Daphnia pulex: one gene and its partner. The main gene of each other region encodes a partner of the protein of the gene in region 2 in a complex. Links are inferred from orthologs where the notes say so. Each region holds a gene or a part of one and is shown on either strand. Other genes may lie near its edges.

Region 1 (3,518 bases), on a different chromosome or scaffold from region 2:
GGCTCGTTTCAGGGCAAATGCTTGAAAACCTACACCGGCCACAAAAACGAGAAATATTGCATCTTTGCCAATTTTTCGGTTACTGGAGGAAAAGTACTGCTTTAACAATCCACGTTTCATTCTTTTACTTGAACATGTTTTTCTTTCTGCAGTGGATCGTTTCCGGCTCTGAAGACAACATGGTTTATATTTGGAACTTGCAAACGAAGGAAATTGTTCAGAAACTTCAAGGACACACCGGTAAGGCTTCCTACCGGGGGACCTGCTCCTTCTTTCACATTTAATTTGTCTAGACGTCACACGCGAACTTATATCCCTTCATGTTTCATTCTAGATGTCGTGCTGTGTACTGCATGCCATCCGACCGATAATATCATCGCATCTGCTGCATTGGAGAACGATAAGACTATCAAGCTCTGGCGTTCCGACACGTAGACCGCGCATTTAGCTTTGTCGCAATGAACCAACAACAAAAAATAATGGGAAAAAAGACGATGAAAAGCAGTTTTGAGGTGTGTACTTTATAGGAGAATTTTGAGGAAAAAAAAATGCAATTTCTTGGTATAAAAAAGTTTCCTGGCATTCTTGACTTCTCATGGCCTCCTCGTCGACAATACAAACATCTTTTTTTTTAATCGTTATAATTTCTTTAAGCAAGTAGATTCGAGTTTAATTGGGGTGATAGAGGCGCTGTGAAATGCGTTCCATATTGACGGCGTGCACTGTGTGCCAGGGAATGACGCCCTTTTTAACCTATTGTTTATTCAATAAAGAAACATGAGGATTAGTTTGAAGTTTTGAAATTAAATATCGACTTACTTGTAAAGTTTGAAAAACGTCAAGAACGGAAATCGGTTGAAGTGCGGTAACTTGTTCGGTAGTGCACGCTAGGTAGAATGCGGAATCCCGCTCTGCTTTCTGAGATGTTTGGGGTATGGCAGGAACGTGAGGTGGTTCCGCAGCTTGCGAAATTTCGGTCAGATAACTGATTTAAAATGAGAACACTTAGAAACATTGTTGTTGAAAAAGAATAGGACTGTACAATAAATATTTACCTGTTACTGGTACTGTCTTGGATGGACCATGAATTGTGTAGCCACGGATTAATTGTAGGTTGGCCAACCGAATAGATGACTTTGTTCTCTCGAAGGCGGTACCCTTTCCGGTTTGTTATGATAGCAATTATCAGTTCTTTAAGAAATTGCTTGGTAGCTGCCAGTATCAGTTTGATGGCTTTGTCTTCACAACCATGATCCAAACCAGCATCCCAAGCTGCTACTAGCATTCGACCGTGAACGAGTCCAGCGTCAGGTAAAATTAGATCCTGGCTGCAGTAACGAAGCTGTGGTTTCTCTACAGTGCAAGGAGCAGAAAATGGTAACAGAGAAACTGGATTCACTGGTTGGAATCGATTCTAGATAAGAAAAGAATTATGTTAATCAAGGTCTCCAATGAAAATTCCAATAATTAAGACATATTACATCAAAGTTGACAGTGAGAGGCTTGTTCTTTGGGTAAACTTGTCTTGTCACAGTGATCGGTTTGATTTCAACAGAATTACGTTTCTGTAGAGGAATGGTATGTGGTCTGATTTTGTTCACTTCAGTGACAACAATTGGCTTTTGCTTCACACCATGATAGACATAGGTTGAAGGCTGGCACAAGCTTTGACATTTTGTAACAATGGCCAAAAGAAACTCATTGTGAAGATGAACTTGGTCTACTTTCAGGTACAATCTGGCTTGGCGATCAAACTCTTCTTTGCTTGTCTAAATAGAGAGAATGTCAGTTATGACTGAATGGATAGTATAAAAGAAACATTTCTTACCCTCATACAAAACCACGATTTCAGGTGGGCAAAATAACTAAATAAAACATGATATTAGAGATATACCACCACAAATATCAAATCTGATTTATTTACTTCTTAGAAGAATCTCCCAAAACATCCACCAACCGTTTCCTGGCTTCGTTAACATCAAGTGCATTCATTGTTGTTGTGTTCTGACTTTTGAACTGCTTCGCTCACTTTTTTAGATTTAACTCGCCATTGGATTTCGTCTACACCTGTCTTGCCTCGACTATCGAAAACCACCAAAAGATGGTGCTCATTCCAGGAATTGATTTTCATAAAATAATTTTTTCCTTGAATTTGTCATTGATAAATATAACGTGTAAAATTAGATAAAATCTTGTTCGTAAAATGTACAAATTATCATGAAATTGAAGTGAATTCCTCTTTTACGGTTTAAAACCAAGAGAAATAGGTGGCGTTGTAACACAACTTGGTTCGTAAGCCTATGAATTGTCGGCTGTGTCGTGTCGTGTCGATTCGATGTGGAGACAGTTGCGCCTCTATTTGTTATCGTGTATTATTACAGGCCCGATTTCCAGTTTTCCACGTTAGAGATTTACATTTCGACACCCATTACACAACTGACGTCGGTTCAGAGCCGTCCGGTTAGATCGGTAAAATAAAAAATACTGAAACCGAATAATTATTATTAGTGTGTCTGTATCGTCACCAAACTACAGCGAGGTTGGAACTCGAGGTGGTGAAAGCTAAACAAAAATGGCAAATATTGAAGTTACCGTCAAAACCCTCGATTCGCGTAATCATAAATTCACAGTTTCAGAGGAGGTAAGACCATTAAAAGAAACGACTCGTGAGTTTTAGATAGGGGAAACTAACTGGATTTCTGTTTTGCAGCTCACAGTCAAGGAACTTAAAGAACACATTGCTGGGGATGTAGGAACACCAGCAGAGACTCAGCGTTTGATTTACTGTGGCAGAGTTCTTCAAGATGACAAAAAGCTCAGTGAATATGGTAAATTGAAAATACTCTTTCCTAGCTCAAAACAAATGATTGGCATGTAAATGTTTTTGTGTTTTACAGACCTGAGTGGAAAAGTCATTCACTTGGTCCAGAGAGCACCTCCAACAGTTGGTAATCCTCCTTCAGGACCACCAAGAACTCAAGGATCTAGACCAGGAAACATTCACTACCACCTAGACAGAGGGTTTCAAAATGGTGCCAATCATTCATTTGGTAAATTTCTCATCATTATTAAAAGTAGAAATCTCAATAACAATGTTTACGATCAAATGAAGGTTCAGTACCAGCTCCAGCCGGAAGTAGTTCTCTGTTGCGTTTGAATACAGCCAGACACATGCTGGAGGATGCCTCACAGAGTTTGGGAAGGATCAGTTCAGTTCCCAGCACTGGTTCACTCTTTACAATGGATAATACTGCTGAGGGACCCTACTCATCCATACAAATGGTTCAAGCACAGGCTGCCACTGCTATAGCTGCTGCATTTTCAACTGTTCAATCCTTGGGGTAATGACAAACCTCCAAACTAAAAAACTAAAAATGTTAGTTACGTTTCTTTTTATCAGGGCAAACAATATTGCCGTGTTGCAAGGACCTAATGGATCACCAGCAGTTCAAGGATCGTTTGGTTTTCGGGTGCAAGGGCCTCAACCAAATAATCCACCAGAGAGTGGCAGTGGCGCG
Region 2 (4,031 bases):
ACGTGATCAATACCTGAGCTACAGATTCCCCCATGCCCTATTTCAACCCCGCCAACGCATGTACAGCTGTGCAACCCCCCACCCATTTGCAATCGTCGCAAAAAGAAACAATTCACTTCCAAATGAACTCACTATCAAATTTTACCACCTGATATCTGCCTCTCATACGAATGCTACTGTTTGGATAAATTAGGGTCAGACTGCTGCATGTCACACAAGATTACTCAAGGTTTACTAGGCAGGATGGTATAAAAAAACCTGTGCTAATTATGAAACGAAGAGAGGAATTTTGAGAACATGCTTTGATTATGAAGGTGTCATGTTTCACCATCCAGAACTTTTATGATTGTGCAACACAGCGGTCTCCTTACCTTGAAATGAACGGATAGCTGCAGTACACACAAAGCAGTAGGAGCGAACTGGAAAATTGTGTCTAAAATGTCACTGAAAAATGGCTGTTTCAAGGAAACTCAGGATTCTTCAATAATTATTGAAAACGAAGGATGTCCCCACACGCACTCGACCCCCCTTTGGGTTCTTCAAAGCAAGTGACACAGATGGTGTAGCCCACACATATCACAATATGAAGAAAAACAAGGTTTCCACAGCTATTTGTAGAAAAAATAAATTGCACTTCACGAAGTTCGGTCTGGAATTCCTCTCTGATAGGCCGCAGATTCAAACTTTAATTTCAAACAGACAATAAACTGTCATGAAACGTAGATAATGTTAGTGTCACAAAAACTCGTTGCCTTTTCACTCGGTAGCCATATTGGAATAAACTGAAAACACCAGAGAAAAGAAGACTGGAGACCCGCAGACGAGGGAATTTTACAGCCCTGAAACTAGCGCTGTTTCAGACATAACGGCCACATAATAATATAGTGAAACACCAACTAAATTAAATAAATACATTGGCCTATGGAATTTGTAGTTAAATGAAATCGATAAAATATCATACAAATTTATATTAAGCATTCTGCATTCATTAAAGAAATACATGAAAATTTGAAAAATTTGAAAATCAAGTCTAAAACTTTGAGTTGCAATTTCCCTGATTTTATTATTTCGAAAACTGCGTTCAAATATTTTTAACAAGTAATTTAAAAAAATATATTAGACTTTGATTGTCTTTTCTCTTTCGACTTAAACGGTTTAAGTTATCCAAAGTTTTCATTAAACCATTCAAGGAGGCGCTGCTATCGTTTGACGAATACCCAGTCTCATTTTCTCTCTTACGTTGTAAATCGAAATATCGAATCGAAAGTTTGAAAGTTAGGTATCGATTCTAGTCCAAGCTTTTTTGACAAGTAAACAACGTAAATCGTACATTCGTACGTGAATTGTCTTGTCAAATTTAAAATTTGGGCCGAAAAATGGTTCCGGGTAAAGGTAATATCTCCAAAGGAAAAGGAGCTACAAATGTCAAAGGTTCAACGTCAGCCACTAAAGTCAAAAGGGAAAGAGTTTCAGAACCTGAGGACTCAGATGAAGAAGTTACTCTAGCTGATGTCCGAGCTGTCGACTATGGAAAGGTTTTACCTCGTTTCACATCCAGTAAGAACTAATTTTTTTTGTTTTTCTGTTGGTTTTCTAATTAACAAAGATATAAATATAATCAATTGTTTATAGTTACGGCTAGATCAGAAGAAGGGGGTGTTATGATGGATGATTTGGACACCTTACAAATGGAACTAGAAACACTACTCAATTGTGTTGTTTTGCGTTCCTTAAATTTACAGAGAGAAATTGCAGGAATGACTGAAAAGGTATTCATCAAAGTTTTTTTTTCATCTTGTGTCTATTTTCTGTTTGCCAACAACACTATGTGTTTTTTTTTAGCCTCCATCTCCTGGAAAACGATCAAAACAAGAAGAGCGTTCACCTAAAAAGTTCAAAGATCAACCAGGAAAGCTTAGAGATGCACACACACCTCCACTTTTAAAGCAGATGAAAATTAAATCTGCTCTAGCTGTACCTAGTTTCATGAAAAGTAGTTTTATTTACAGTCAAGTAATGATCTCTTTGATTTTATAGAAGCCTATCCCACCAGAAGGAGTTGTTGAGGAAATGCCTCCTTTAGAATTAATGAAGACATCAACTGCCAAAAATGATACACCAAACAAATTTTGGGCTTCTGTAGAACCATACTGTGCTCTTTTTACAGATGATGATTTAAAGGTAAAATGATTTGTATAAGATTAACATAACTTGGAATTAAATTTTTTTTCTTGTGGTAATTGATGTTTTAACTAAAGCTAGTAGAAGAACTAATCTCAACTCATAATGAGGATGAAGAATACCTCAAAATTCCTCCTCTCGGTCGCCACTATACACTTCGGTGGGCAGAAGATGATTTACTTCAGGAGCAAAGAGAGGGCTCTCGTTTCGGCGAGAAAAAGAAGATTACCTCTGGATCTTCTGTAGGAACGGAAGAGGCTCAAAGATTAATGGACACAGCAGCTAAAAACAAGTAAAAAATTAATATTTTTTTTTCTAATAGCCGCATATTGCTTAACGATAGATTTAATAACTCAGTGCTGAAACAAATACTACATCTGCGACGGGGATGTGCGGACCCATGACCCAGCGTCTCATTTCAGCTCTTTTAGAAGAAAATATTGTAACTTCTGTGCAGGACACAATGGAATCAGAAGGGCAAGGTATATTGTTCATTGTTTTCCTGTTTAAAACTAATGCCAACTAGCGGTTCGAAATTACTGTAACAGACGAAAACGCGAAATCTACTGGCACGAAGGCAGCAATGAATGGACCTCAAGCTGCTGCACTTGAACGTCGTATTCGTCAAGAGTTAGAAGAACAAGGCATTTTAACTTCCGAAGAAGCCAACGTTAATTCGGTAATTTATTCATTCAAAACACATTTCAGAGGTAGTATTATTAACCCCCTGATTAAGGCCGATGATGAAATATTGACGGAGTTACGTCGATGCCAAGGAGAATTGAGGGCCATATCACTGCACAACTTGAAACAACTGAAACGACTGTACCGCCTCAGTCAAGAAGAAATGAAACGTCAGGAAATACGGAAAAAATTGATTGCAGCGGACGCTGAGGTATTCATTTTTCAAGTGTCATCTCTGCTTATCGAGCTCGTCTACATTATTCCCAACTTCTTTTGAATAGGTATTAGACGTATATCGTAAAATGGCTGCCGCTAAACAAAAAAAACGCCCGTTAAGCAAAAAAGAAAAAGATCAGATGTGGAAAATACTTCGTGATCGTGAAGCGATTGTCAAACAGCTGGACACGGGAACGACTAGTATGTAAATATTTTTTCAAACAATACAAGACGTGTGTGATGAAGATGAACTAAGATGGTTAATTGAACTTTGCATAACAATATAAACTTTTAACAAGCCTTGTTTATTACTTAAATCAATTAGCATGTATTCAACAATGAAAAGTTGAGGTTACTTGAAGTTGATAAGAATTTAATAAGAATTCTTTCAACTTCTCCAAAACTGAGGATTCAATTCTAGTTTTCTAATAAAGTTAGTGTACCAGTTTCTTAAAACAGACATTGGGATGAAACTTTCTGATGGATTTGGTGTCATTTGTGATTGAGTAACAGCAAAACTTGCTGCATAATTGAAAAGATTTTGAAGAGTACGTTCAGCAAACTCCTGGAATGTTGTGGTGCTACTAGGCTCTGTAATGGCACTAGGAGATTGATTGGAAATGAGGCTAAGAGGCTCAATTGAAATCCCTATTTGAGCATGATGATGTATTTCCCCCTGGTGCACCCCAAACATACTAGGGCTATAACTTCCCGGATTCTTCTTCAAGCCAGTGATTTTGTAAATGCTTGACGGTTTGTTATTGGTGAGGTTACCTAGTAGTTGCCACACTGGTGGGGCTGATAGATCTGGCTCGGGCCACCTGAAGTACACTATTAAAAAAATTATTTTGTGGTATTTTAAAATCTATCTTCCGGAGTATGCAAAAATTTTTCCTTTAACATAGAATTGTACTCTAACCAACCTGATCCACCAAATCCCTCTGGGAATG

The links.
Region 1: transcriptional adapter 3-B-like (region 2) and transcriptional adapter 1-like share a complex: the UniProt entries of both Homo sapiens proteins name them as parts of the STAGA transcription coactivator-HAT complex. The link is inferred for Daphnia pulex from reciprocal best matches to the Homo sapiens genes TADA3 and TADA1.

The regions. Positions count from the first base shown.
Region 1 is NC_060023.1:11,640,391-11,643,908, reverse strand, and holds transcriptional adapter 1-like, read right to left. Parts: upstream 2,085-3,518; 5' UTR 1,993-2,084; coding exon 1,925-1,992; intron 1,866-1,924; coding exon 1,829-1,865; intron 1,770-1,828; coding exon 1,482-1,769; intron 1,415-1,481; coding exon 1,056-1,414; intron 986-1,055; coding exon 820-985; intron 754-819; coding exon 670-753; 3' UTR 503-669; downstream 1-502. Other genes in the region: WD repeat-containing protein 5, read left to right, coding at 13-93, 153-240, 335-435; large proline-rich protein BAG6-like, read left to right, coding at 2,573-2,641, 2,711-2,828, 2,898-3,050, 3,113-3,341, 3,401-3,518. UniProt on the Homo sapiens protein: Probably involved in transcriptional regulation.
Region 2 is NC_060019.1:11,487,380-11,491,410, reverse strand, and holds transcriptional adapter 3-B-like, read left to right. Parts: upstream 1-1,224; 5' UTR 1,225-1,376; coding exon 1,377-1,557; intron 1,558-1,632; coding exon 1,633-1,769; intron 1,770-1,842; coding exon 1,843-1,974; intron 1,975-2,037; coding exon 2,038-2,181; intron 2,182-2,258; coding exon 2,259-2,473; intron 2,474-2,538; coding exon 2,539-2,663; intron 2,664-2,729; coding exon 2,730-2,860; intron 2,861-2,917; coding exon 2,918-3,076; intron 3,077-3,146; coding exon 3,147-3,290; 3' UTR 3,291-3,380; downstream 3,381-4,031. Other genes in the region: protein OPI10 homolog, read right to left, coding at 3,470-3,912, 4,005-4,031. UniProt on the Homo sapiens protein: Functions as a component of the PCAF complex. The PCAF complex is capable of efficiently acetylating histones in a nucleosomal context. The PCAF complex could be considered as the human version of the yeast SAGA complex.